Drosophila melanogaster: one gene and its partners. The protein of the gene in region 3 purifies or fractionates together with the protein of the main gene of each other region. This does not show direct contact. Each region holds a gene or a part of one and is shown on either strand. Other genes may lie near its edges.

Region 1 (11,486 bases), on a different chromosome or scaffold from region 3:
GTTACCATAGTAAATATGTACATGCATGTACATATGTACATATGCTTATCAGTTTGCCCGGGCAATTGTCATGTAAATTAATCAGTCGGCCACAAACGTAAAGACACACAAACAACACTGCGGAGTGAAGTGGAGTGCATTGCCTTGGCCAGCGATGCGCCGAGGGAGTTGGAGCTCGATTACATAAGGAGGATGCTCTGCGAGTGGCGTACAGCGATCCCTCAATGGACTCTGCACACGCTGCTTTGCGTATTATCGGTGGGTGGCATGGAGTGTAGTGCCAGCTCATATCTTATCACGCAATGGAGTCGCCCATAAAAGGGGGAGGAAGAGGAGGCGAGAGGGCCCTGATTAGATAGTGGCCGAAATGCAATAAGACCTTGTGATTCATCGAGCGAGCTACATGCATGTGCGATGTGTAAATGGGAAATGCTGGAAATGCCAGGCAGTAATTAAAGAGCCCACACTTTCCTAGCTTGCTTCCATAATTGACCTTCAAACGTGACTTTGCCTATGTCTGATGAACCGAATCCGTAGCCTACCTCCTTCCAATCCGCATTATAGTTTCTCAACAGTAGCGGATATCTATAGCCGGCTAACCCGGCAATCACTTAAGTAGCTCAACACACCCACATGGTTCCGTCCCCGAATCCGACCCTTCTATGTGGAATGTGTAGTATGACCATATCCGTAGCCCCGCTTCACATTGTTTTGATTTTATCGTCTGGCTTGTAACTGAGCTGGGTATCCAATGAAAAAGCAATTGTAATTTCATTACCATTTAATTGGTAAAATTGGCATTGGGAAAATGGCAATCGGTCGATTGAAGATTAGAAGCAAACTAATTCTGAAAGGGAAATTCATTTTGTAGTGTGGGTGGAAAAACGTAATAAAATGGGTACACTGATAAAAAAAAGCTTCGATTTTTATCTATAGTATAGATAGTATTAAAATATAAATGTTAATTTATGGACTTTTGAACTTGCCTTAAATTTGATTCATATTTATTTCAATAGGGAAATTAGAATGTTCGTGGAAAAATCCTTAGATGAAATTAAATTAAAATGTAATTATTTGTATCAGTGCATTGTGATATTCCCCATTGCGATATTCCACATTCCGTGCATTATTCACGCTCCGTAATCCCATCTGGTGGGTTTCCGCAAAGTTCTCTGAGCAACTAAAACGGCTAATGAGTACAAGCTGGTTGTGTTAACGGCCTGACGAGGCGAAATAGCGAAAGCCATTGCAACACTTGGCCAACTTATTTTTGGGCATTTCCCACACTTGCAAAAAAAAGAGTATATATTTTTTTTTGAAAAGTCATCATTTAACGCCAATTTAAAATCGCATGAAAGTTGGTGTGCTATGACTATTTGCTAATGCTTCACTATTTAAGATTTCCTTTTTCAAATTAAAAATAATAACCAGTAATTACCAAGTACATATGAATGTAGGTGCATTCTGATCCCTAACATATGGGTTCACGCCCTTTTAATTGTTTAAAGTATGTCCCTCCTCCCCACATTACATTTTGGCACGTGCCGGCTGTAGGCAAACACTTTCCATTGCGGGTTATGGTGGAGGTACTTACTCCGTTGTGCAGGTATCCGTTGTTCCTGTTGATGTCCATGTGGTTACGGTTGACTCCCGCGGGCATGACCGTGGTCAGTTGCAGCGCCTCTATGGCGCCGAGATCCAACTCCGGCTTGGGCTCGGCGTAGGCCGGAGAAGCACTTCGCAGCGAGAACTGGGAGGAGCTGAGCGGCGGATGCAGCTGGGTCTCCGCGGACGGGAAACAGATCTGGCGGCGCACGAAGATGGGCGACTCCTTGGCGCTGAGGGCGCCCAGTGAACCGGAGCCTGAGCTCACGGGTCGGTGTCTGTGCTCCACGGGCAGGTGACCGGACTGGGTGTTCGGATGCTGAAGATCCGTGGCCAGGTACTGGCAGCGCAGGCAGGCGCAGGTGAGTTCCGAGAGCTGATCGGCCGACTTGGATTTGGGCAGGGCCTTGACCAATCCGGCGGACTCCTGTTCCAGGCAGTCGCAGATATTCTGGCGTCCGGCGGAGGTGGAGACAACGCTACTCTGGATGACGCCGGTTGCCATGCAACCACCGATACGGGGTGGGTGAGTGTGATCTTTAGACCTTCTCCGCAGTTATCTAACGCCCCCGCCCAGTCAAGGTCGTTCACACGCGCTCTAGTGGCCCTCTCCAGGCACAGACGTATAACTCTCGCTCTTCGGAACGCGGATCCCGAGCAACATGTGGTTCTGGTCTAACGGTAAACAATGGCTAGACTGTTCTTGAACTTATCAGAAGAATATGTAGGTATTTATTTGCGAGTTTCACAGCTATATATTTGCGGTGTTATCTCAATCGATCGGTTTGTTGAACTCGACCGTTGCACTTTTTTGGACAATTTCATGCACTCGAATCGCTGGAAACTGGTTTCAAATGCAAATGGAACAGTTCGGTGGTAGCCACTTACTTTGGATCTTAGTGTCATAGGGCTTAAACGGTCGTTTGCAACTTATATTGTTTGCTCTTGCTGATAATTATACGAATCGTAAATTAAATTCACACACGTTCGATTTCCAGGCACGCAATACTACGCAAGACAACAACAACACGAGCCAAGACGGCGCAAAACAACAACAACAGTGATTCCGAGCCTCGAGACGTCCGACCTCCAGTAATTTCAGTTTATAACTGAACCGAAAACAAAAGGAAAACTTTGTCGCACGAACAAATCCGAAAGCGAGAGCTTTGCGAAAAGCTCTACGTAGAAAACCGTTAAACGGACTCCGAGTCGGACTAGATTGAAATCCGCATCGTTTGGCGGTAAATCGATTTTTAAGTTAGAGCGGCGTTAATTCAAATATAAAAATATATACTACTCCTAGAGGGATACCACTGTGGTTGCTTTTTGCAAAGCTTACACGATCTATAAAGATGCCAGATGGTATAATTTTCCAGATAGTTTATTTTTTTTATTATTATTCATTTAAACAAGGATATCACACCCAGAAAAAGGCATTCTTTGGCTCACAAAGATTTGGTTTATTTGCAAGAGTGAGGCTATGGACTTATATTTCACAGGTATATTGTAACACTTTCGTCTGAATTCAATCACAAATCCATTCTGATCCACACTTAGGAACAACAATCACTTTACTTACTACGAAAAGACCAAATAAGTCTTCGCAACAACTAACTAAACTTAAACTAAAAGCAGCTGCGCATGCTCAGCACGATTGCAACTGCCCGCTGACTATAGAGACATATGGAAATGTCGTGAGGTGATATATGTATCTTAGAAGCCTAAAAGGAATCCAACCAAAGGAAAATCACACGTCCGACGCATCCTCTTTAGTCTCAATTCGCTTCCGCCTGGCGAGCAGGAAATGCGAGACGTTCTCGTACACCAGAAAGGTGACCATGCAGGCAGGCACTACTCGGGTTAAACTCGCCTTCAGCCCCTTGTAGAAGCCTCTGTAGCCCTCAAACCTGCAAAGAGAACCAAACACAATGCGGTTAGAGACTGAGAACTGAAAGCTACATCTACTTACAGTAAGGGCGCATTGGCTGTTTCAGATTAGCAAAGAGATTCTGCACAATTAAGGGGGTGATCGAAGACTTAGGGAGCGGAAGGAGCAAGGACTACTTACTCAAGCTGCCATGAGCCCTTGGACAAATGAAAAGACGCAGGCTGGACGCGCTGACAGTGTTTGCTTTAGTTTGTTTCTTGGTTTTCATTTAGGTCTGCCATCGTGGCCTTTTAATATGGGTAAGTAATTTCGCATTTCTTATCTTTTCTTTGATTTCAATAAGATTGTTCCACTGTAGGACTAAGTTGGTTTCACAATGCGTTTATGCTTATTTACATAAATGTCAAGGTTTATCCTTAAAATTATAAACCATTTTCAAAAACTATGAAGAATCTTTTTGCCAAAACGAAATTTTGTATCAACTAAACAGTAACTGGTTTTTCTTTGTGCTTACACAATTCCAAGCCGTTATAGAATAAATAATTTAACTAAACTAAGAACTAAATATGTGTTTGTTTTGATGAAGAGTGCAAGAAATGCGTTTTTGAAATTACATTTCATGGGCAGGGGCTATTTTGACGACGCCCCGATCACATCAGTTACTTTCGAAGTTGGGAGTGAAGGATGTACAATAAACTAGATATGGAATACACTTAAGGCTAAAGTAAGGTGCTAGGGCTAAACCGAAATCGAGTTACAACAATAATACAGAATAAGTTTGTCATTTTCTGCTGTTAGCTGCACATCGGAGGAAACGAGAAAGATTCGTGTATTCTAGGTGCTTAGCTTAAATTCTCTGTCAGATTCCAGATTCGATGATCTAGTACTAATACTCCATCTAGCTGGTCAGCTTCTCCCAGATCAGCATGACCATGCAGATGTTGGGCGTGACGTGGACCAGGTAGGGCACCAGGCCCTTATAGAAACCTCGCATGCGCTCGTACCTCCAAGTCTGTTTGATGCAGTCCCAGGTGCCGTTGTATCGGTGATGGTGGTCCTGCAGCCGTGCCCGGACCACCTGGTACGGGTAGGTGGCCGCCGCTGCGATCAGCTTGGAGACAGCCGCGAAGGCCAAGTACTCGGTGGTGGCCTGTGGGTGAGGGAGCACACATTAGTGAGGCGAACAGAATGAGCTGAATGGCTGCCAAATGGCGGAGACGTCATCACAACCAGATATATTCGGATACAGATACAGATGTGGTCACACAAAATATAACAAAGCGAACAAATATTTTTCTGATTAAGAAAGTCTTCTAACGAAAAAAGTAATTGAAAAAAAAGTACTCGATAGATTTTCAATTTTTGAACGTTACGCATTAAACTTAAAGACTTCAAAGTATTTTGTTATTTGTATAAGTAATAATTTTGTGCTATTAAGTTAACCGCATCTGTTCACCCAATTTAGTATATAGGCGATGTCAACGCCACGCGCAGCTTGGTCATGTGATGGGTTGGTCATTTGTGATCTGCCTACTCACCAGCTTCGTGTCGATGGGCAGTTTGCGATATTCGTTGTAGGCGTTCTTCAGCTCCTCGTAGGTCATGAACTGGATGGCTCCGTGGGAGACGCCCAACATGCCGGGAACAAAGCCGCGGTACAGGCCACGGATTCCCTCCTCCTTGTATATCTGGCCCAAGGCGTGGATCATGCCCCTGTACTCGGCACTACTCGCGGCATCGCACTGCAGGCAGAGACGCGTCTTCACCACCCAGATGGGGTTGGTCAGCAGCAGGGTGAGAATTCCCGACTCAGCAGCTGCAAGCATGTTCATTGTGGGGCCCAATGGCATGGTCGTGTTTCCTCCTTGGATAAATGTCTTAATGGTGTTGTAGCTGAAGGGAGTATTTACATTTAGGTTTGTTACCATTATCAGTAGAGCAAAGTACTTACAACATGAAGTACAGGCCCCAAGAGGAGCCCGATCCCCAGACATTGGGGGTGACGCCTTTGTAGAGTCCGCGGAAGCCCTCTTGCCGGAAAATCGTGGTGAAGGCGCTGCTCAGTCCCCGGTATTGCGGCACCGTAGCTGTCCGGCCATCGTTAACTGCAAGTGGAGAAGGAATCACGCTCGTAAATGATAAACATGTCTAGACATTGCAGCCTTGGGTCTGGCACGATTATGATTATGGATACTGTCACTGAAGGGCCGGCGAATGCGTCATATTGTGTGTATTGCTCTTCACCTAGGCAACTGTACGTCTACGGGAATATCAGTTGTTGACTCCGAAACCAACAAGTCCAGGCCCGTGGCCAAAGTTGTTTTCGCCAAAAGCAGATAGATAGCATTAATTGCCAGCGGATGCGATAAGCTGGGAGCGTCGAAATCAGCCACTCTACTTGTTTTCGCGCCCATTAGCAGATACTTAGCTATTTATATGGGACGACATATTCTATATGAGCTGGGCAATCATAAGATCTGGCCTGACAACAGTACCAGGCAGAAGAAAGGGGCTCGTCTTCGCTTCTAGACTATTTATAGCATCCTCATGGGTGACCTTGAAAGGAGACTGGACAGCCCAAGAGGCAAGTTCTTTTGGGGTATTTACGACTAAGCAACCACATTGGTTTTGGCCAGCGTAAAGAGTTTTTCGACATGCACTCGATAAAGTCGCAGCGATAAGGTCGCAGAGTGCTGAATCAGTCGACTTCCCGCATGGCAACAGTTGGAACTCGTTTTTAGCCACTGGAACTGGCGCTTGTGCCACATAAACCGGACAGTTGCCGCTGAAAGTTGCCGTTAACAAAGCCATTGCAATGTACAGTCGAGTCAAGTGGTCACGTGATTAAAAACGAGCAAGAGCAGAAAATCAAAAGCAAGATAAACGGGTTTCGTTTGGCCAAAATGCGTCATCGCCATAAAGGCCTTGCGCAAGTCAATAGAAAACAGCTGTTGCCAAATCGAGAAGCCACCGGATTCAAGGAGGTTCATTGCGGCGAAACCACTAGCTCTGGATTTTCTAACCATCCCAACTTGGGTTCGCTTTATCAGTTCACAAAACTCGCATGGTGTGACTTTAATTCGCATAAACAACTCGTGTGCTGGTTGTTATTGTTTACAAGCCACTTTTCTGGTGAATTTACATATTCACTTACTGCGTTAACGATTTTTAGCACTGATCCGGGCAAACTGGACGGCAACAATATTTAATAATCAAGAAACCCGCTCTCGGTTCGTTGTTGTTGTTTTGGTATCCCGAAGCAGACTATACGGAAATGTTGTTCATGTATTTTGCGCATGAAACGCAAACGAGGCCAAACATATGATTCAGATTGACTACAAAGAAGTAGTTTTCAGCAAATAGTCATAAACACAATGGCCTGCGTAAGCTGATGGCTCATATTATAGCCATTAATATCAAAGGTTGATAGCTTGTATCGATCTTTGGCCAGGCGGCATAAAAGTAAAAGCAAGTAAACAATTCGAACTGCTGTTGCCCCACGTTTCCTGTCTGCAAAATCCAGATTAGACCAATTTGAGATTCCACACACAATTGTCAACACAACCATAAATTTCATCTTTCTATCGCATTGAGGAAAAACTATGTTTTCACGTGCCCGTGGCCCCATTCATCAGCATTGTTTATGTGCGAAAGCATGCACGTCACTACTTGACTACACGGGCTTCTCAAATTTTCCATGGTGCACAAAAAAAAAAATCAAGTGCGAATTCTCGGATACCCGAGTAGCGTCTCAAACTTTCCATGGAAAATTTGTAAAGCATTGCGCAAACAAAACGCGAGCGGCGAGTAAAGTGCAACAATAATCTGCAGCCAGACTGGCGGCATTTCCCCGCACGTGCCGAGTGCTCTTTACTACACAGCAATATACGTAGTGCTAGTTCCTATGGTGACATATACGTTTTTCTCTATCAGTTGACAATTTTCTTTTAATAGGTATAGTTTTTGTATTCTATTTTAAGCCCAGATTAATCAGAAAGGTGCCTATATTACAGAGCCATATTGCGAAACACAATACTTAAATTAGAGCACTGGCATTTTGGATTATTCAACAAATATATTTCCCTATAAGATGTTATATTAGTGTACTACTGCTTGCTCACGGAAATCGTGGAATTCCCCGAGGCGTGTGGATGACTCACCTGCGAATCGAATCTTGATCAAATCCAGGGGATGTAGAATGAGTGTGGACACCACTCCGCCGGATACTCCGGCAACCAAATGCTCGTACTTGACGTGTGCGAATACGTTGAATTTCTTGGGACTGCCCGTTGACTGTGCCTTGATCGGATTCATATTGTGCAATCTCTGGTGATTTCTTTTGCGCTCGTTCTGTATTATTGTTGCTATCGCAGGCTTATTGGCTGCCCCGGTTGAAACTCACTTTTGCTACAGTGAATTGTACTAAAACTACGTGCTATTTACACTCTTTGGCTTTTCGGCTGCTTTCGACACAGATGGGCGCAAATCAAAGGAAATCGCTCGTCGAAATTATCTTGTTGCTAGGCGCACAGTTGTTGTTGTTGCTGCTGCTGCCGCTGCTCCGGTTGTTTTTGTTGCTGCCGCTGCTACAGTTGAAACATTTGTGCCTTTGCTTTGTTGTTGCCCAGCTCATATTTTCACTCGTTTGTTGTCGTTTATGAAGACTTTGTTGGCCAAATTGCTGCCCTTTTTGTGTATCTGCTGTTCAGAATTGCTGATGCAATATTAACTCCGAAATTGTTTCAAAATTATTTTCGTTTGGCCATTCGTTTCTTATGTAATGCCGAACTGAAAGGGCAGCCTAAATAATTGCCTTCGTTTTTTGTGGTCTGCTCAGCTGACAAGCGACTGATTAGCGCACTGCAATTAATAATCAAGCACGTGTGGCAGCAATGAACATTAAGTAACAACTTTTCTACGCGCGAGCAGGCGGATAAATGCGAACAGCAAGCTCTCCAACGAAAAACGACTAATCGACTTTGAGCACAGTGTTACCATATGTGCGCCAGGGCCGATAACAATAAAAATACCATCCAGCCGCAGAATAAATACCAATGTACATCATATCGAATTTCAAAATGTCATATTCACACCACTTGATAAAAATAGGTATTTCCGCTTCATATTACTCAAGTATGTCATTAAACATGTTATTAAATAATTATTAAATATTTAATTAAATTATTATGTAATCTCATCTCTCTTTAAGCTTATATTAGATAATTCCGGTTTTATAGAAAAAAATCTATTTTTAAGACATATAATGTTCTATCTTCTTCCCAAAAATCTAGCATAAAATTACCTAATCGTCAAACATTACTTTTTTTTGTTGTTTAGTTACATTTATTTTGGTAGGAAGACATAATAATTTTGAACTTGGCTATCAGAGTACACCATATTCATATAGCCGTGCCACTCTCTTATAGAAATCCTTAGCAAAAGTCAATTAAATTTAAGGAGTATTATAAAAAATTACAAACTACTTGCAAACAAAAAAATGTTGATTGAGTATTGTACAAAGACTAAAGGAAAAACACCAATAATTAGGATACTAATTATACAACCGAAACAAATCAAATCCTTAAATATTAAGACTTAAACTCATTTTAAGGTCGATAAATAAGGAGTAGGAAAAGTTAAGTAGATAGAAACCCAATTAATTTTCGAATAACTTTCCTACGAAGGCAGTCAATACGACTAATTCCCATGCAAAGGTATTCAGCACCAATATAATATGGAATATGGAATATTCAATGAGTGGTCATGCAATCGAATGACCCGCTAATTACTGAATAAACCATGCTTGCCCACAAACGAGCATCGACAACTGTAATTTACCTTCGATATTCCAATTAAATTGTGTAAACAATTTGGCATAAGCCAGAGGTCCTTAATTACAGGTCGCGGAAAGGGCCAGGATAGAGGTATGTATGTATGCGCAATAATGGCTAGATGGATGGGGTAGAAGGGGTAAAATGACACAATTACCAACTGCAGTAGGCATCCGCCGGATCCGAAGTATCGCCGCAAATTGAGTGGGGGCGTGTCCAATGTTGGGCAAACATCGGACAGCTCCAGCTATATGACTATATGCTCCGTGTAGCTCCGTGTTCTGCGGTCACGGGAACACATGTTCGCCTTCACATTGCGTCGAATGGCATGAAATTTTAATTTCATTAGTCGAACGATATAATTTAGAGACCGCAGACAGCGAGCAATTCGAGGTACTTAGTTGCAGATACTTTTGTATCTCATTATACGTATGGCTAGAGCTTTAATTGTGTTCGTTTTGTGCAGTGTGCGCATTTCTGTGCATTTCAGGAATATGCCAAAAATTCGCAACGATTTGTCAGTAAATAATTTCGAATTGTTCTCCGTCTGCAGGCAATCAAAAAAATCTAAAAAACGCGCTCGCTCAAACGAAAGAGAGTATCTGTAGAGATGTATCTTTCGCCCTCTGCACATGGCACTGGGATTGGGGACTGCGCATTAAGGATTGGGGTACCACGGACTGGGGTTGGCGAATCCGGGGATGAGGAATGATGATGGTGTCAACAGTGCTCTGATTTATTTGAGCGCATTCAACGCTTCGTTGCAATTCGTTAATTTGCCCGTTTTCCGCCGTCAGAAGAAGGGAAGCTGCCCAGAAATATTTACCCACACTCGGCGGACAGTGTCTATAAGGATCCATCCCCGCCCATCCCTGCTGATTCTTGACAAGCTGCCAAAGTGCCGAACAAAACCCAACAGCTTTCATCATAATCAGAAAACCAAAATTATCAACGAGCCGCATAATTGTATTGTAATTTATGCCGCTGTGGAATCGGTTAAATGTTCGCAATGTTCGGTGCTCGTAAAAGATTTCAAACACCCAAACGTGACCAATGCCAATTTGCGCTCCAATCAATGGACGCCTCGTCACTTATGGCCAAAAATTTGGTCAATTACGATCAATTAAGCCATACACATGCAAATTATTGCCACCTGCTGCGCGAAGAACGATCGGCATATCAATTGTGGGTGCTTCGGGGGAATCGAGGAATCAGGGAACGGATGTGGATTTGTCCACAGCGGATGTAGGAAACAGTAGTCCCATCCATCTGCTTCTTGGGGACGGTGGGGGTCACGACTGCAATGGATTGTTGTCTGTATTTTGTGGATACTATAAACGTACTTTTGTATAACCTATGTATGTATATATACCCTATGTAATAACACTTGTTGGAGGTATTTATGCCTGTTTACCTTTAAAACGAGTTATATAAAATATTTAATTTGGCATATCAGGCCTACAAAAAATCATTGTTAATATTAATCCTTGCAATAAATTAGGGGTCATTAAATTATCAGCGATTGCTACCATCCAAGAAATACGAGTATTCCTTTGAATAATTCTGCCTGTTACGGATGTCACTTTCAATTAAACTCTCTTAAAATCTATATTAGTGCGCTTAAGAACCAACTAAATACCTCAAACACCACCAATTAAAATTAATAGTTGTACAGAGCTGTTTACTGGTATGTTTAGATAATTAAAACCAGATATCCGTAGACTAATAGATATGCACCTAAGTTGCAGATACAAATCGTTGAGCACACTGGAGTGTCTGCTAATGATGCCCAGCAGTCACACCCACTGGCAACTGACATTTGAATTTAAATTGGTCACTAATATGCCTCGCGAGAACACCATCCTCCATCCTCCGTCCTCCGCCGGCGGGAGTACTCCCCAATGGCCAAGGAGCTGGCGAAGATGGGGCATTAATGGCAGGGCGTTCTCTTCGCCAGTCCGGCGATGTCTGATTACCGAGCGATTCGAGCAGAACGCAATTACGGAGCGGGAACGCGGGCGGTGGTGGAGGTGGTAGTGGTGCTGCTCCATTGCCGGAAACTGGTTCGCTGTCCGCACCACCCGGCAATTAGCAGCTGGCCAATGGGAGCGCGCGCCAGACAGAGACACCAGCTGTTTGTCATGCGCCATATTGAAATGGAG
Region 2 (8,208 bases), on a different chromosome or scaffold from region 3:
TAAATTTCAAACAGCGCTTACATCAGATCCGAAATTATTCAGAAAATCTCTCGGATTTTATTTTTATGGCTTGAACTTGAACTGTAAGCGGCTTCCAAGTGACTCACGTCCAAGGCAAATCTTGAACACAAAATCAAGCACTCTGCTCCCCTTTGGAGTCGCCAGGAGGGACTCCTCCAGATAAGGTGTAGAAATCTCTGACGTATTCCCAATGCCAAGAAATATGCAGACGCTATCCACACACGTAGATACATATGTAAATAGGCATGTGTGCCACGATGAATAAACATGGGAAATCGTCTACCTAAAATTATTGTTAGCCACGCACGAGACAGCTGACCGCACAGTGGGCCTATTTACAATATTATCGAAAGAAGCATTTAAAAAATGAGGAATTTCTACTTTTTCTATGACGTATTGTATATTTATTATGAACAATTATGTAGTTCCAAGCAAATGCCCCAAAATACGCAATGCTAATTATGTACATATGTGCACATATGACGATCTTGTTTAATTATTTCGCACGCAGCATCGTTTTTTTTTTTTGGCACAAAAACTGATTTAGAACGACCTTCGGGAAATTCGTCATTGAAAATTCCCGGTAGCTGAAATAATATGTACATATGACTTAACTAATCCCAACTGTAACTTCCTGCGTGCTGCTTTTGCTGGGTGTGCCATGGAGCACGAGAGGATTGGCGCCCAGCTCTCGGGGGGAATGGGTCATCGTGTCCGGCTCACGTGTTCCGTCTGCACTTGTTTACGTAAAGTGGCGCTGCATACTCGGAACTAGTTCTGCGCTGGGTTGGCCGCCCACCCTGCTGCCTTCCCCGCCAGCGCTTCACTTGCTCATCATCCCGCTCCTATCGAGAGTACTACGTGTCTCTGTATGTCTATTATTACCGACACCGAGCCGTGTTGTTGTTTACCCGCTGTTTCAGTTGCGTTTTTTTTTTCTGCGGAATTTCTCTGGTGCGATGCGCGTGGCGAATTGAATCGGCCATTTGGCAATTAAAACTGAAATCGATTTGGCCGTGGCTCAACTTCGAAGAAAAGGGGCGTGGCTGGGGGCGCGGGGTCAGGTGTCACGTGTCGTCAGCGCAAAACAGTCAGAACTACTGCCACCCGAGTCATAAATATTTGGGTTAATGAAAAGGGAATATCTGATTACATAAAAATGGTTTCACAAGAAAGTATCTTTCCATTAGCTGCGCGAATGTGTAATATATTTTTGCTTATGCACCAATGCATTAAATTGTAGTTCAAAAATAACTTTGTTTATTTCGAATTGTTTACTGCTTTATTGGATTTTATTTATAAATTGCTTGGTAAACAAGTGCATATGTGTCGATTAAACAAAACAAGAATACAACTTGTGTTGGTTCATTGAAGTAAAATTGTTATTCCTTTTTGAGAAAACTTATTAACCCTTTGGCTAAAAGTTACAAGTTGGAGTGGTGGAAAAATTGGCAAAGGGAAATTTGAATAAAATCCAGCGAATGAAGAAATTTGATAAATGATGCTTGCAACTACATATAAACAGAATGCAAAGCTAACCAAATGCGGTTTCAAAGAAAAACTTTATAATTTCATAAGACTAAATGTGATGTAAACGAAACGTAACACACAAAATATGGGAAAGTAATGTAGAGCATTGATGGTAACCAATCTGTTTCTCGATCTCTTCCAGCTGAAAGTCAATTGAATCTCTGTTCCTCCGTCACCGCGTCGCGAAGCCGTTAAAACTGCCGCTCCCAAACATTCGCTGCGATGGCCACCTCATCGATACTCGCCAAAAGCACAATTAATAGCACATCGCCACCGGCCACGCCCAGCAGCAGCGCGTCCCCCGGCTCCACACTGACCACCCGGAAGCGGACCTACGAGATAGCCATTGCCATGCCCTCGTCCACCGCCTCCAGCAGCGCCACAAAGGTATCGGAAGTTCAGGATCAGCGCACAAACAGCCCCGGCAAGTCCAAGAGCAGGCCCGGCCAGCTGGAGAGTGTCTTGGTGGTCGGCGAGGGAGCCAGCGAGCCCACCACCTCGGCCACCACACTGCGGGACAGCACACGCACCATCTCACAAAGCGACGCCGACGATGGCGGCGAAGCGGCAGCCGCCGAGGACCTGCTGCCCCCACAGTCGGATTACCTCAACGGCGTCAAGCGGAAGTACGTCCCGCAGCAGCAGGCGTCGCCGAATCACCGGGTGGTGCCCGCATCCACCTCGCAGCAATTCTTCAGCGGGGCCTCCGATTTTGCGGTAAGTAGTCAAGAGTTAGGATGCAAAGTTAGTCTAAATCGTAGTAGCTGAAATCGTTTGAAATTGATGTTCGAGTCGTGAGTCGTATATTTCCGACGATGTGTGATAAGATCGAGAAAGAATGTGTAGACCAAGGACACAATCGTCCAGTTGAATAGCCCAACTAATCGGGAACTTTTCTTCCTGCAGACAATTTGCAAGCCGGCGCCCTACTCTCACGACGAGGAGGCCATGCTGGAGCGGGATAGATGTGACTACACTCAAAGGATCACCTACCAGATGGCCCGCTCCGGACAGACGACCCGCAGGGTGAGGGTCTACGCCGATGGCATCTACGATCTTTTCCACCAGGGCCACGCCCGCCAACTAATGCAGGCCAAGAACATCTTTCCCAACGTGTACTTAATTGTGGGCGTGTGCAACGACGAGCTCACCCACCGCATGAAGGGACGCACCGTGATGAACGGCTTCGAGCGATACGAGGGAGTGCGTCACTGCCGCTATGTGGACGAGGTATGTTCTGCCCGGCACTGATTAGAGATCTTTCAGTCTATAGCATCTTACTCTGTCTTGCAGATCGTCCAGAATGCGCCATGGACTCTGTCCGATGAATTCATCGCCGACAACAAAATCGACTTTGTGGCCCACGACGACATTCCGTATGTAACCGATGGCATGGACGACATCTATGCTCCTCTCAAGGCGCGCGGCATGTTTGTGGCCACGGAGCGCACTGAGGGTGTGTCCACCTCGGACATCGTAGCCCGGATCGTCAAGGATTACGATCTGTATGTGCGTCGTAATCTGGCCAGAGGCTATTCGGCCAAGGAACTCAATGTGTCGTTCCTGTCCGAGAAGAAGTTCCGGCTGCAGAACAAGATGGACGAGCTGAAGTCGCGCGGCAAGCGCGAGCTGAGCAAGGTGAAGGTGGACATCATCACCAAGTGGGAGGAGAAGTCGCGCGAATTCATCGACACCTTCCTGCTGCTGTTCGGACGTGAGAACCTGAATCATTTGTGGAACGAGTCGAAGGGCAAGCTGCTGCAGGCACTCAGTCCGCCGGGCAGCCCGTCGGGATCAGTGAACGGTGATGACACGGAGGGCGGCGAGGACTACAGCGAAACTATTGACGAGTACTTGGAGATGGCCGAGAAGTTGAGCGGGGGCAGCGGCAGCGGCAGCAGTGGATCGCTGAACGGCAAACAGAGGCCGAAGCAGAAGCGCTCCTCGCTGGCCCGCCGCAGTTACCAGAGTCTGCAGAGCCAATCACCCGACTTGGAAGCGGATGGGGACGAGGATGCGGATGCGGATGCGGAGTACGAGCGTCGAAGCAATTGATTCTATTGCGGGGCAGCCCGATCTTTTCTTCTTCTCTTAATGTCTTTAATGCTATTGTAAATGGACTTGCTTGCAACTAGTTCGACGGCACACTATAGATGCCCCAGGATCGCCACGCAGGCTCCACGAACACACACTTATATTTACTCTAGCCCTAAGTGGTATTGTAATCCCAATGTTTTAGTTGGCACTCGTTCTCCTCCTGCCTCAACTCCACCTGCCCATCTCCATCTGTGAGAATCGAGGGAATCCTGTAGCTAATTTAGCTGTGTGTGTGTGTGTGTGGGACAAGCAACCACCAACGCGGAAAAGACTCATTTTTGTATTAGGCACTCGACGGACTGTGCACGAAATCAATCGGCAGTGGCGGCAGATTCAGGTGCCGAAAATATCTAGAAATATTTATATTAAATTATTTCGCATAACATTAAACTAAGTTAACAACACCGCAACCAGAACACCAACCAATATAGAGAAATCCAAACAAACAAATTACGAAATACATTCGGAAAATGCAAAAAACAAAAACAAGTAATTAGTAACAGTTGGCAATAGCGGAACTATTGCAAATGCTTTGTTAAATATTTTTTGAAAAATAAACATTGAATCGAAAGGAAATAGAAGTAAAGCGAGTGGCTTGTGAATCAGTTTGCTATCTCATACGTTTATCCAGCAATTGCGCATCCGATTCAGCAGCCATCCATGGCACTGCTGGAATTCTTGAGCGCGCGCCACCGATGATGATGAAACCGTTTGCCTTGATTGGACACCCATTCCCTCGCAATTAGCTGCCCATTCACCGGCTTGAAGCGGTTCACTGATTTGTTTAATGGCGCTGCGGTTTATATATAGATGCGCACCCATCGCCTGATCGAATCGGCGGACCCGTGCCAAGTCAGGCGACCGACCCGTTGCTTCCTATTTGCTTGCGCCGCAATTTGCGGCAATTGAAGATGAGCGATGAATCCGAGCCAGAGACTTGGGCCTGAGACTGCTAGAGCCGCCTCCAAGTCGTGTGCCTCGCCAGCCGCTGGACTCAATTGTATTGATTCGCCACCAGTTGCCGCCAATTTATTCTGATCGCAGCTAGTGCGCAGTTGGGGACATCTCTCGCTCAAAGTCTCGGACTCAATCCTCGACAGAGTAGACCTAGAGGGTTATGCCGGTTCCGTCTCAATTTATGTAATCAGTCGTCCGGATGAAATCCCCTTGAGCGGACCACTAGTGCTGTACTTAGTTGTGTATACTCGTACATATATTTTTATAAGCAATGGACAGAATGCCGAAAGAGGACGACGAATCTCCAGTGTCGACGGCTCCTGCCACACCGACATCGCCGATGGAGTTTAAGATGCTACCGCTCTTTATGGACTTTGAGGATTTTGTAAGGCTACTCCTTAGAGGAACAGGAGTTGCCACATACTAATCTCTCTACCCCAAAACGCCTCCAGAGCATTTGCCAGCCTGCTCCTTTCTCGTACGATGACAAGGCCATGCTGGAGCTCGAGAGATGCGACTACACACAGAGGATCACCTATCATATGGCCAGAGCTGGGAAGACGACGCGCAGGGTGCGGGTCTATGCAGATGGCATATATGATCTGTTCCACCAAGGCCATGCCCGCCAACTCATGCAGGCCAAGAATGTGTTTCCCAACGTCTATCTCATCGTCGGCGTGTGCAATGATGAGCTGACCCTCAGGATGAAGGGACGCACGGTTATGAATGGATTCGAGCGCTACGAGGCGGTGCGCCACTGCCGCTACGTGGATGAGGTAAGTGTGTTAAACTGAACCAATGAAATGTTTCTATACACTTTTCGATCCATCACAAGATCGTTCCGAATGCTCCGTGGACGCTAAATGAGGAGTTTATCGAGGAGCACAAAATCGACTTTGTGGCCCACGATGACATACCCTATGGAGCTGGCGGAGTCAACGACATATATGCTCCACTCAAAGCGAAGGGAATGTTTGTGGCCACGGAACGCACTGAGGGCGTGTCCACGTCGGACATTGTGGCCCGAATCGTGAAGGACTACGATGTATATGTGCGCAGGAACCTGGCCAGAGGCTACTCAGCCAAGGAGCTCAACGTCTCCTTTCTCTCCGAGAAGAAATTCCGTCTGCAGAACAAGATGGACGAGCTGAAGACACGAGGCAAGCGGGAGCTGACCAAAGTCAAGGTTGACATCATCACCAAGTGGGAGGAGAAGTCGCGCGAGTTCATCGATGCCTTCCTGCTCCTGTTCGGCCGGGAGCGGCTTAACACCTTCTGGAACGAGTCCAAGGGCCGAATCATTCAGGCACTCAGCCCACCAGGCAGTCCGAATGGCTCCGTAAACGGTGACGATCCAGACGCAACAGACGACTTAGACTCTGAGGATGAGTACATGGAGCTGCCACCAGACTACGGGTCTGGTAGTTGCGTATCCCTTAGTCGAAAACAAAAGCGCCCTGATAAGGTGAATGCCTCAGCAAACCTCAATTACTCGGAGCAACCAGAGCATAAGGATGTCGTAGACGAGCGACGCAGCGACTAAAGACGAATTTGGCCTCTTCCTATCAATTAAAACATAAATAAATATGTTTGAAGTTTAATGGAACAGCGCAGTAGGCACTTTTATACATATTTAAAAGAGCTACCAGAAAAAGTATGCGCTTAAAATACATTCCGATAAATTTCAGTTAAATTATGAATATTTCTTTTGGCAAGAAAGTAAAAAGGCGTTTATTTGATATTTTACTTGCTGCCTTTATTGGTTATCTTATGTGTATTGTGAATATAAGTTGGGTTAAATTATAGATTAGCTGAATGATTTTCCAAATCCTCTTCAATGATAGAACAATCGCATTTGTTATTTAAAATAACGTTGAAATATTCGCATAAAAACAAAAATACAATAAATCTTGTAACTTCATAAGCGATCATCATCTAGCTCTTCATGGAGCTCTGTTCATGCCCGTGGCGAACAGGGGAACCATCTTCTTGCCCTTGGCCTTCTTTTGCTTCTTCGATTCCGCTGGAGCTGCTCCATTGGATTTTGCTGCTCCTACCTTTTGCTTTTTCTGGTCCAAGGCTCCAACTAAAAGTTCTCCCAGACCCCAGTGGCCCACAGATCGCTGCTCAAAGTCCTCATCGCTGGTTCTTGGGACCATTACAGCCCGTGGCGGCGGTGGAGCTGAACGGCCCCAGGCGCCCACTTGAACATCCAATGGCGCGCCACCACCTCCAGGAGAATTACTTCCAATAGTGGGCCACATCTCCTGCTTGGGACTTCCCAGAGTGACACTGGAGTATCGGGAACCGGGGTCCTGGTTGCTGATGTTCATGGGCACAGAGCCACTGGGAGCGGGCAAAGCCTCCTCGAAGCCGCACTTTAGATAAAATATCACATATTAATAATTGACACTAATGGCAGGCATTGCTAGCTCACAGTGGGAAACTCATGGGAGGAGCTTAGGTCAAGGTTAGCTGCACTGGCAATAAGTTTGCCCATCTGGCGGTCATTTATCTCGTTGATGTGCTGCTCTCGCTTGCGCTCCTCGCGATCCCGACGCTGTCGTTCCTTCTTACGATGAAGAATGTCCTCTGCGGAAGGAATACATATAAGCATAATGCTGTACATGGACCTAGTGGACTTACCCTTAAAGAGCTTGAGTATTCCTCCAGTGACCACTGGCGGCTGCAATTCGACTTCCACAACCGAAAACTGACAAGTCAAAGGCAAGTGGCCAAGACAAGTGAACTTGCGTCGATGCTCCTCATCCATAGAGTGCTGTTCCATCTGCACGATTTGGGCTTCGATGAGTAGCGGACCCAAGTCCAAGGTGCCGTAGCAAGCCTGAAGCATCTTCACGTTCAAGGGATGCAAGTAAATATTCTGTCCGTCGTTTGACTGGTAGAAATAATAGTATTTATTATGGTTGCTCGAGTAGCTAAGGCTGCTGGATGCTTCTCCCGACGAGATGGAGGCATCGTCTGACTTCTCAATATCAATCTTGGTCTCGGTTTCTAGGCAAAGTACAGGTGCTGTCTCCTCTTCATCCTCTTTCGGATCAGGTTTCTCGACACCCAACTTCTCAACACGCTCCTGAAGCATCACCAGCGCTTGCTGGATGAACACATCCTCGGGACAGGAGACATCCGATTCGGCTAGCAGTTCGTTACGCTCCCTCTCGATGATGGCGGCCACATCCATCCGCTTGGCTATTAGAAACTTTGAGTAGCGTTTAGCCTCTTCACCAGCGGACACAAAGGGGAAACGTTCAATTGTTTCGCCCAATCCTGCAACATGATTTTCAATGTACATGGAGCCCTTGCGACGCCGCATCAACTGGAAGGTAATCTTCTCGCCCACTTGCAAATCCCTCAGCTGTTCGATGGTGCAGCTCTTCAGATCTCCCGCGTGGATGGCGTCATAGCAGATAGGACACTTGCGCCAGGTCTTGTCGCTCAGCGAGAGGTAGTGCAGCAAGCAGGGCCAACAGTAGGCGTGTCCGCATCTGGTGAGCTTGGCAGCCACAGGCGGGTACAGGCAGATGGGGCACTGCAACTCCTCAGTGGTCTGTATGTTGATCTGCTCGATGTAGCTCCAATCGA
Region 3 (10,694 bases):
TTCAATGTGCGAAATGAACCCGATGGACCAAATGAATCTGATGAGCCATATAAATTTGATGGGGGTTCCAGTGAATCCAAATGGTCAAATAAATTCCAAGGTGCCAGTAAATCCAATGAAGCCAGTGAATTCAATGGAGGCAATGAATCTAACGGCGCAAATGAATGCAACGGGGAAAACAAATCCAATGGAATCCACGGAGCCAATGGATGAGGAGCACCCCTTACTTGGTTCCCCAAGTGAAGCTCCGCCACTTGACCCGCCGCTGACGATGCCCATCGATCTCGACGATGACCTACCCGATGTGCCGGTGTATTATGGTGCTCCTCGGGACTTGACAAAACCACTCACACCATATGTCGAGTCATTGATACAGGCATCCGTTAGATTGCGGCGCAACCCATTGGGTCTAAACTTTATAAACAGTGACAGCGATTCCGATGATGAGGATACGTTTGCTAACCAAACGCTGAGGCCCATTGGTTACGAGATGCTGATGGCCAGGAGACACAACGACAATATTGAACTCATCAGCCGCCACCATCAGGAGCAAGTGGTACTTAAGGTCCGCACCAACACGGTTGTCTGGGAGACCTATAGGAGCGATAGCACGCTGCCGCCAAACAAGACTATTTGGAGTTTTGAGCGCCATGATCCCAAGCCAAGACATGTGACACCCAATCCGTCGACCCAGTCAAATCCAACCATTTCGATGCCCTCGAACGTGACGGCCGATCCGACATACTGGATTCCGAACAACTTTCCCATGCAGCTTGCCAACTTGCATACCAATAATCAGTCGGCTCCGGAAAGTGAAATCCAGTACCTATATGAGAACTGGTGGCACAATGCCAGCTACATGAACTTCTTTGCTAGTATGGACCACATCATGGTCAACCTTTTACAGATCGAGCTGTACGCTGCCCAGATGTACACCGAGTACGGCGAGGCGTTCTTCGAGACGGCCATTGGCAGATACTGCACGGAAGAGTCTACCGGCTCTTCGGCGCCATTTGGTCAGATTCAGCTGCAGTTCATAGAGCGGATCCGCCAGATCCATCATATCAATAAGATTAATCAGATCAATCAGATCCATCGGATCCAACAGAACCAACAGGAGCCGCAGCAGTTCCAACAGCCGCAAGAGATCCAACAGCGACAGCAGTTCCAACAGCCGCAGCAGTTCCAACAGCGGCAGCAGTTCCAACAGCCGCAGCAGTTCCAACAGCGACAGCAGTTCCAACAGCGGCAGCAGTTCCAACAGCCGCAGCAGCAGACGCAGCAGCGTACGCGCAGCTTTTCATCGGAGATGCAAGAGATGGCGCGCAAAATGAGCAGGACATTACTGGGACATCGCCAGGAGCAACACGAGAATCAGGTAATGATAATCACGTTTGTTGGTCTGCAAAGTATATATGTATATCTCTAATATATGCACTTGCCTACCTCCTCAGCCGAATATGCGCTACTTAAAGTCTGGAGAGGAAGGACCACGTCCAGGACGTTTTGATGGAGGCGAAGAGTCGGGCGGACGCAAGCCAAATCGTGGTCTAAAGGTTGCAAGTAAGGACCGCCATTTTTATAAATTTCTAAATTTAATTAGGTTGGGTTATTGCACTTTTAGTATCGACAGCTTGTAGTATCAATGCCAAAACATTATTTGCATTTCCCACAGATTCATGCATTCTAGAAAGCTTTTTTTGAATTTTGTAAACGCTTAGATCAGTAGTATTTAGCATTTGAGACATTTAAGACTTATGTACACTTATATTCACTTTATTCGCAACACAGAGCGTCGCTTTAATAACAAAATGGAGTCGGAGCGCCAAGATAGTGACTCTGATGGGCGTTTTTGCTAGAGGATCGGATGGAAAGAAAGATGATCTCAAAAAACTGGAAGATCTCGCCTTGAATAAAAAAAAACTTCCCACCGCTACCCGGGACATCGAACAAGTACAGGAATTTGGAAATTTGAAAAATCTCAGAGGAACAGGACAACTTGAAGCAGAAATTTTGAAAACATCTATTTGTGGCCTAAATATAAGAGCCTTTTTTTTTTTGTATACCTTTGGAGACATATCTATTAACAGAAGACAGAATTGCATTTACACACATATGTATCTACATATTGTTGACAGAAAAAATAATTGCATTTGCACAGATACGAGAATTGTTTGCTAACAGAAAAAACAATTTCATTTACACACAAATCTATTGGTAACAGAAAAAAAAAATTGGTAACACAAATACGAGAATCTATTGGTAACAGAAAACGAAATTGCATTTACGCACGTATGCGAATCTATTGTTAACAGAAAACAGAATTACATTAACCATTTCATAAACACACCTGATAAAACCACCGAACATGCATCAAAATGCTTGACTCGTGTAAATATCGAATTTGTGTGCCATAAAGTAATCAGTTTCGTGATCAATTTCGTGATTACAATTTTGTGATAGCTAGTAATTAATCCATTCCCATACAATTTTAGGGACTAAAGCAAAACACAATTATATTTACATTTTTTATGCAAACAACTGATGATAATAAAATCTTTACTAAAAAAATAAAACAACTTTCAACCTTTTTGAATGTGAACAATTGTACGAATCTAAAAAAAGGGAAGCATAAGCTGATCTTCTTAATAACGTTGGTATTCAACGCTATTGCGAGGCTGCAGCAATACTTTCCTTCTCAGTGGAAGCTCTGGATGAGTTCCATGATCCATAAACCTGGCAAACCGAAACAAAAGGGAGCCCGCTTCCAACAGGCCGATCAGCTTTCTCCTTTCGATCTCAAAGGTGTTTGACAGACTAATTGCTGCCCAGATAGTCAGGATAACGGAATCGAAAAGGATTACTCCTTACAGTACCGTTTAGCAACTCCATGCCGTGTACAGTATCCGCCCATCAATGAGGCTTAATTGAAGCCAACCGAGGTACCTCATTCTTCGATCTCCTTTAAGGCGGGTACGAATGGTCCGAATTAATATGCCTTTCTATATATGCCTTTACTATATGAGTAATTAAGCTTAAAAAGCTAGTTTAAAAACACGCGCTTTAGTGTATTTGAAATGTGTTTTACCTATTTTCGTTTCGTTTTTCAAAACATCGGCTTTTCAAATATACCGTTATTTATCAACGGATAGTTAGGAAATTCTATCGATACTTCGAAGCGCGCTGGCCACACTTTTCATCTCTATCAATAGTTCCACCACTACTTTCTTTTTTAGCAATTGATTCGTTTTTTTTTTGGACGCACCTGCGTGCTTCAGCCACATTTTTGGCCTAAAACAATTTTTGGCCCCAAACAATGGAGGCCCTAGTGAATTATAGTAGTGAGGACGACCAGGAGGATGCTGGCTTTCAGATACGGGTAAATATGCCTACACCGCAAGGCCGGAAGCAGCTGAAAAAAGAAAGAATCATCAGAGCGCATTTTGTGTACACATACATCTTCATCACTTTTTTCTTCCTTGCGTATATGGGAACCGCGTGTGTGTCGTGTTTGTGTTGTGTGTGTGCGAATGCGCGGAAACGCAAAATAAAGAACTGATCCCATCAATTCAAAAAACATAAAAAAACGAGGAAAATTCAAAACCACTAACCACTCCAATAATACATTTCAAGTATGCTTTGGTAAAATAATGCCAATTTGCTGTTTCTTAAAAGTTGCAAAATTCCCTTGGCACCACAACAACTGCAGCATTTGCCGCATGCTAAATCCTCGAGAACAACAACAACTGCTAACTTACTAGAGCAGAACAACAATAACTATGTTAGCGGCAACAGTCCGCGCGGCAAGGAAAGAGATTGCCGTATTTGAGAACCGTGTGTGTGTGTGTGTGCTTGTGTGTGTGTACGAATGCGCGGAAACGCGAAATAAAGATAACTGATCCCATCAATTAAAAAAAACATAAAAAAAACGAGCAAAAATCAAAACCACTAACCACTCCAATAATATAGTTCAAGTATCCTAGTGCTTTAGTAAAATAATGCGAATTTGCTGTTTCTTAAAAGTTGCAAAATTCCCCTAGGCACCACAACAACAACAACAACTGCGGCATTTGCCGCATGCTAAATCCCCGAAAACAACAACTGATAGCTTATTAAAGCAGAAGAACAACAATAACTATGGCAGCGGCAACAGTCCGCGCGGCAAGGAACGAGAAAGAGAGCGCGAGCGGGAGAGAGAGAAGACAAAGCCGATGTCGCAGCAGCAGAGTCATAGGAGCAGCAGCAGAGGACGCATTGATGAGGTAAAGACTTGCCGTTGCACCAAATCGATATTTACTTCCCATAATATATACCAAATACCATATGCTATTGTACTCCATACGTATGTGTGTGTGTGTGTATCTGGGTTGGAGCGCAAGCGGATCTTTCATGTGCCGTTTCCTTCCGCTGCCGCAAAGGGCGACGCCATCGCCGACTGCGCTGCCAGCAGCAGCACTTACAGAGGCAGGCAAAATAATAGCACAGAGTCCGCTTTAAATCAAACGTCTAATGTATAGATATCAATCAAATCGAAACCGAGATCTTTTAAACTTTTGAGTTAAAGTTAATCCCAGTTGTATACATTGGCCAATTCACTTCAAATAAAAAAGAGAAAATGCCACGTAATGAATGAAAAGTACTTGTGCCAAAAAAACAGGACACTGCATCAAATCAATAATGCAGCCTAGTTTTCAGTGCCTCCATTCCTTTACGCCAGCAAAAGTAATAATTCTATACATAGGCAAGGTCATTGGCAGCAGTACTTCATTGTTAAAACTAAATTAATGGAATGTTAAAACACAATAATGCATGCAGTCCATTCCCCACTGGTTCTATAGTTTATATTGCAATTAAAGAAAAGAACAGATTCACAATCTTTTCTTGTAGTCTTGTAGTTCAGCTTTACTTCGGTTATCATTGATTAATACTTCCATTAGTTACAGATATAAATCGCAGATCTTGTTAGATTCTGCATCTTTAGGGGCTTCAGGCATTTTCTTGTGCTATTATTTAGTCATCTGCTGTTCCCAACTGAAAAATTCAATATTCATATATTTATGTATATTGATCTCCACGATCGACTGCATGCGCTCCAACCCGTTACATCCAAATTTCGCTACTGCCAGATTTATATGGGCCAAAAACTCAAAATTAAATCCAAAGACAGAAAATTCTGTTTGTTCGGTCCGCTTGCGATTTACACACACATTGTTGTTGTTGTTGTTCGGCCAGCTTAGTTAAGTCTACAAACTTTATATGCCAATCAATATTTAAATGACTAAACTCTACCATTTTATTATCATTGTTATTGTTGTTACGTAAACGAAACCGAATCGAACCAAAACGAAAAACCATTTTCCAAACAAACAAGTCAAAAACAAAAAACGAAAACAAACCTGACCGACGATAATTGACGATAGCCCGATCGTAGTAATCGCTCGATTACCAATAGCTTCTTCGATAGTGCGACAATCGATCAAATTTGTTATGACCACCACTGTGTGTGTAGTCCTGTGTGCGACTCTGTGGCTGTGTTGGTGGGTGTGTGTGAGCCACTGAAAAAGGTAAAAGCAAATAGAACGATCACACTCACCACACACATGCCCGCCCGCACACACACACACACACACAACCACCCACCCATCCACCCACTCACTCACTCACTGGTGGCGCGAAAGCGAGAGAGAGAGAGAGAGAGAGAGATAATGCGAAAGAGAGATCAAGGCGCACGAAAGTGAGTATACAAAAAGCGATCAAATAGAACCTAACAACTCTCTAAGCAATCTAGGACACCCCGGAAAGGACCCCAGCTGGTGGCCCACAGCCCGAATCCTCTTTCTATTTCCCCTCCAGCATCCTAAGCATCTAGCAACTAGACCTAGATCCTTAGTCGCCGGCGCAGATTCGTAGATCCATACGCTCTAATGTAATTCTCCTCAATGTGTTGCTTCATCCCGTTCCAGGAGCCGAAGCCCAGCAGTCGCCACCGCCAGGAGCGGGACAAGGACAGGGAACGGGACCGCGACCGCGAACGTGACAGGGACAAGGACAAGAAGCGCAGCGATTCAGAACGCAGTCGCGACAAAGGACGCGACAAGAATCACAGCAAGGTGAGACAGAGTCCTAATCAACTCAGCATAACTCAGCCAAACTAATGTCTGTGCTATTTACAGGGCGACCATCGCCACCATCGTACCAAAGACGGCGACAGCCACAGAGAGCGGGAGCGGGATCGTGACCGGGAGAGGGAGCGAGATCGCGACAAGGATCGGGACCGTAGGCGTTCGGAGAAGAGCAGTCGCCACCACAGTGGCAAGGAACGCCATCATCATCATCACAACAACTCATCGTCAGCCGCCGCTGCAGCGGTCAGTGCAGCATCAGTCCGTCGATCCCATGATGAACGCAGTCGTCGTCGCCGGGACTCTCGATCCGGTTCCCGCACACCAACGGGCACGCCGCCCTCTCGTCGCCGCCATCAGTCGCAACAGTCACGCAAATATCGCGAACGCGACTCCAGCAGCCGCTCCAGATCTCCGAAGGAAGAACAAGCCACAACACTTCGCGGTGGAGCTGTGGCCGGATCTCATATGCTGCTCGCTAAATCAGGCGGCGGAGCAGGATCAACGGCAACTAATGCAACAGCAGCGGCGAGGGTTGCAGCGGCCGCTCTGGTAGCTGCCAATGCAACAGCCGCAGCCATGGCAGCCGGTTCATCCGGCGGCGGTGGCGGCGGTCTCCTGCCCACGCCCAACTATGCGCCCAAGATACCCTCGCTGATGTCCTTGGAGCTGAGCACACCAGCGGCAGCAGCACCAGTCGCAGAACCCATCCAGCTGCCCAGTTACTACAATCCGAGCATCATCAATGCCAATCGCTATGCGGAGCAGCAGCAGAAGCGCAAGCTACTGTGGGGCTCCAAGAAGAGCGAGAACTCGGCGAACAAGTGGGGCAACGCGCACTTCTCCCAGGACTCCGACGGCAAGGTGGCCTCCAAGTTTATGCGGCTCATGGGTATCAAGAACGCTGGTACGTCCGGCAATGACGATGGCAAGGGCGGCCAGGCGGAGTCCACCAATGGAAGTGCAGCAGGCGAGGGAAACCGCGCAGTAAGAGGTGCTGCGCCATCGGGAGCCGCTGGCGGAACGAAAGTGCCCACGGACGTGCAGCAGCGCCAGCGCATGTTCTCCAACATGGAGCAGCAGTACGAGATGGCGCGAGCCGCCACACACACGATGCGTGGCGTGGGGCTTGGTTTCGGCTCCCAGCCACGTACTTTCTAGAAGGGATCGGAACGGAGGAGGATCGGCTCCCTGCCAGGCTGTAAATACCATGCCACTCACTCAACTCATTAGTCAGTCAATATGTTTCTCCTCAACAACTTTTTGTTTGTGTTGAGAAAATTTTTTGTTTTTTTGATTTCAAATAAACGTTGCAACAGAATTTATGAAGTGACGTGGCTCTCTCTTTGGATTTGCTTGGGATAAATGCGTCGTTAGGTAGACTTTTAGTCTACACTATTACTAAGTATGCTAAGAGTATCCAACTTTAACTACAAAGTTCAGCGGCTCTAATCGAAGAATGCTTGAATATTCAATAATAAATAAAGGTATTTTTTTTTACAATAAACAATTTTAAATTTTGGCACTCTGTTTAGTAGATGTCAGTTTTTTGCCATGCACCTTGGCGGTCGGTCTGCCTATCGCCAATCGATAGCTGACCAAAAACAATAACAATAACAAAATCAGCTGACGATAGGACGTCGGATATCGATACCATATCACAAACTAATAATAAAAATAATAATAAATAAGAGAATTAATACTACTAGAACACAAACAAAAGCATATAAAGCTTACACATCCTTTATTAAAACAAACAGCCAAATTGGATTTAAATTGTGGAACGAAGCAAACAGAACCGCTTGAGTTTGTGCCACTGCCACGCAAAAAAAATTATCGTTTCCAAAAAACTAAGCATACTTCATCCGAAATTAGCAATCAGCTAGCCAAAAGCGGAGTGATCTCGTCGAGAAGAGCCACGCCCCCTATCCGCCCACGCTGCCCAGAAGAGAGCAGCGAAGATGTCGTGGCTGAACAGCAGTCTCAGCCAGCTGAAGGGCCAACTAACCAATCTGGCGCAGGAAGTTCTGGCCGAAACGGCAGGACCCGGCGACTTGGAGTATGAGGGACATCAAGCAGGAGGTGCTAGCGTCCAAGACGCCGAGCAGCAGGCCAAGACAGCCCTGGAACTGCTGGCCGAAACCCAGGAGCAGAAGGAGCAGCTGGACAAGCGGTGCGAGGAGAAGGATCGTGAGGTAAAGCCAACTCACAGTCACTTTTGCGGCTTCTTCACCAATGGCCATCCGATTGCCCCTTTCAGATAGCCGCCCTGCGCCGAGAACTGGCCAAAAGCAAGCAGAAACAGGAATCCCAGCTGGCAGCCAGCACATCAGCTACGCGGGAACCGCAGTTGGTAAGTGACGTTTGATCCGAGGGACCTGCAGCTGGCCCCCATGTGGCCATGCCACATCCGGTGCCCACTCCGTCTTCCAGGAAACATTGCACTCCGGCGTGGAGTGGTGTTTGACCGGCTTTATCTTTCAAATAAGCGATAAGCCCAGCTCTCGCGCTCTCTGTTTCGCTTTTGGCCACATATCCCTGAATTAATATTTAAACTGCGATAAGCTAGGAGTCGGCACTACCCTAGTTTTATCTGCACTTCTCGCGTTTACCTGATGCCACATTGTATGCTTCACACGGAGAGAAAAATGGTTGCAGTGGCATATTGTTGTTTTCCGTGGCACGATTACAAAGCGCTAGAATTCACCGATTTCTGTTTTGCCAACAATTAAAGGGGGGTTTAAAATAAGCCAAGTTCTCGATTGCAAAGAATGTACTAATAGTATGGCAGGGTAAGCCATATTTCATTAGAGCGTCTTGAGCTTTCGGATTAGCAATCTAATGCTAAAAACGGTTTTATATTAACTTTCTCCTGGATAAATTTGAATTTGAATTTAAACTGATTTTTCATTTGACATCCATTCACCTTTTTCCCCGTGCAACTTCTATTTGATTTCACATTCGGTGGTGTTTGGTGTCTGCTATTTGCCTGGCTGTCATAAATCCCTGGTCTCCTTTTCGATCACCCCATATGCCTGTTAGCCTTATCTAGGCGTGCTGCTAACCCTATCGCTCCATAGCCCTCCGTTCGCCAACTGCTTGTTCAATTTACCGAATTATTTCTGATTAGGCAAGTTACTGCAGCGCAACCCCAAGTGTCTGATATTCCCGTTGAAAATGCAGGGTGACGGGGTTGCATTTGGAGCCATTTGGTTTGGTCACTGGGGCGATGGAGATCTTTCTGAAGCACAACTGTACCAGATTTTCCATAGTCACCTTAAATATAAAAAATATGGCTTTTCACATTGTAGATCTAGTTTTAAAATACTAAATGACATGCATATATAACCATAGCGTTAGATGTTATATTTTTTTCGAAATGATTGAATTACTCTTTGGCAATTTTATTAGAATCGTAGATACTTTATTTAATTCTTAAAATAATGAACCATTGTATTATGATCTAAAGTTCAAATCGATCGCATTGCCAGTAGGTAAAAAATTAGAAATCCCAAAGACTTTACAATATGGATTACGAGTATACTTTCAAACTGCCTGCTTTTTGAAATTTACGGTTCTTTTAATATAATATAAAGTTTTGTAGTTTTTTGTTCATTAAAAATGCTTTTAAAATTGATTGTTTAAAAAACATCAAAATATTTTAATCAATTTATAATCAAATACAATATGATATATATTTATGTTAATTTAACGTGCCATTATGATTTGCCAGATTTTTATTTGCTCTAAATCCGGTTTTGGTTGCAGCTTAAATTGGCAAATTGATCTTTCTAGTTTCGGCCATCATTACTCATGTTTTATATTTGTTTCTGATTAGCTAATCGATTGTGTAAAAATGAGTTCCTATCAAACATGCGAAGCATAAATTATGAGGGAAAATTGCATCATTTAGTACGAATATTCAGAGATAAACCATAAATACTCATTCCTTATCGGAGCTGGCGAAATCTGAACAGTAAGCAGTTGGAAAATCGATACGGATATCTGATACATATATATAATTCTTTCATGTAAGCGATTTTGATCTATTCTTTTAATTTAATGTCGATAGATGAATGGTTGCTCTAGTCAGCTAATTCAAATCTTGATCTTCTTGAGTAAGATATGACTTAATCGGCTCAAACTTTCATCATTTCATCATTTGATTTCTATATATGTGGATATATGTTTTCCCAGATTTTTCCTTCTGGGCTATCTCGCATGTACTATCTAAAGATAGCCATATCTTTTGGATCGATAGTTGGGTCACCATATTGTTTTGCATAATTGCGCCAGGCGACCGGCGATAAGTGTGCCCTCGTCCCCATCTCCATCCCCATTCCCATTCCCATTCCCATTTTCATTCACATCCCTCATGGCCCACCTCCACTGCCACTACCAACTCCTACTCCTCCTTCGTGAATATGGCAATCTGCTCCTGCCAACCATTATCATCCCCATTAGGCGGGCATTTGGGACATCTGCATGGCACCATGCTCGGGTTATCTTATCCGGGCCAAGCTGGCCAGGATCGAGGGGGTTGGTTGGCTGGATTGCCTGGATCCGGGGGCC

What was found.
Region 1: the proteins of CG6340 (region 3) and CG8026 purify together in Drosophila melanogaster (affinity purification with mass spectrometry, with the first as the bait; one large-scale study listed by BioGRID). This does not show direct contact.
Region 2: the proteins of CG6340 (region 3) and Pcyt2 purify together in Drosophila melanogaster (affinity purification with mass spectrometry, with the first as the bait; one large-scale study listed by BioGRID). This does not show direct contact.

Annotation. Positions count from the first base shown.
Region 1 is NT_033778.4:9,183,623-9,195,108, forward strand, and holds CG8026 (uncharacterized protein), read right to left. Parts: upstream 8,475-11,486; 5' UTR 8,127-8,474; coding exon of another isoform or gene 7,980-8,126; 5' UTR 7,808-7,979; coding exon 7,654-7,807; intron 6,725-7,653; exon of another isoform or gene 6,648-6,724; intron 5,599-6,647; coding exon 5,445-5,598; intron 5,387-5,444; coding exon 5,032-5,386; intron 4,644-5,031; coding exon 4,498-4,643; coding exon of another isoform or gene 4,392-4,497; exon of another isoform or gene 3,513-4,391; coding exon 3,353-3,512; 3' UTR 3,048-3,352; downstream 1-3,047. Other genes in the region: CG45085 (uncharacterized protein), read right to left, coding at 7,980-8,126.
Region 2 is NT_037436.4:1,549,021-1,557,228, forward strand, and holds Pcyt2 (phosphocholine cytidylyltransferase 2), read left to right. Parts: upstream 1-4,472; 5' UTR 4,473-4,876; coding exon 4,877-4,990; intron 4,991-5,057; coding exon 5,058-5,381; intron 5,382-5,440; coding exon 5,441-6,148; 3' UTR 6,149-6,295; downstream 6,296-8,208. Other genes in the region: Pcyt1 (phosphocholine cytidylyltransferase 1), read left to right, coding at 1,774-2,268, 2,458-2,781, 2,845-3,606; CG12099 (uncharacterized protein), read right to left, coding at 6,549-6,983, 7,043-7,197, 7,252-8,208.
Region 3 is NC_004354.4:15,479,159-15,489,852, forward strand, and holds CG6340 (uncharacterized protein), read left to right. Parts: upstream 1-3,215; 5' UTR 3,216-3,316; coding exon 3,317-3,379; intron 3,380-4,023; coding exon of another isoform or gene 4,024-4,040; coding exon 4,041-4,262; coding exon of another isoform or gene 4,263-4,517; exon of another isoform or gene 4,518-5,222; intron 5,223-5,371; coding exon of another isoform or gene 5,372-5,410; exon of another isoform or gene 5,411-5,734; intron 5,735-5,963; coding exon 5,964-6,110; intron 6,111-6,173; coding exon 6,174-7,283; 3' UTR 7,284-7,454; downstream 7,455-10,694. Other genes in the region: CG6324 (uncharacterized protein), read left to right, coding at 1-1,378, 1,455-1,563, 1,792-1,859; Gmap (golgi microtubule-associated protein), read left to right, coding at 8,084-8,317, 8,383-8,475.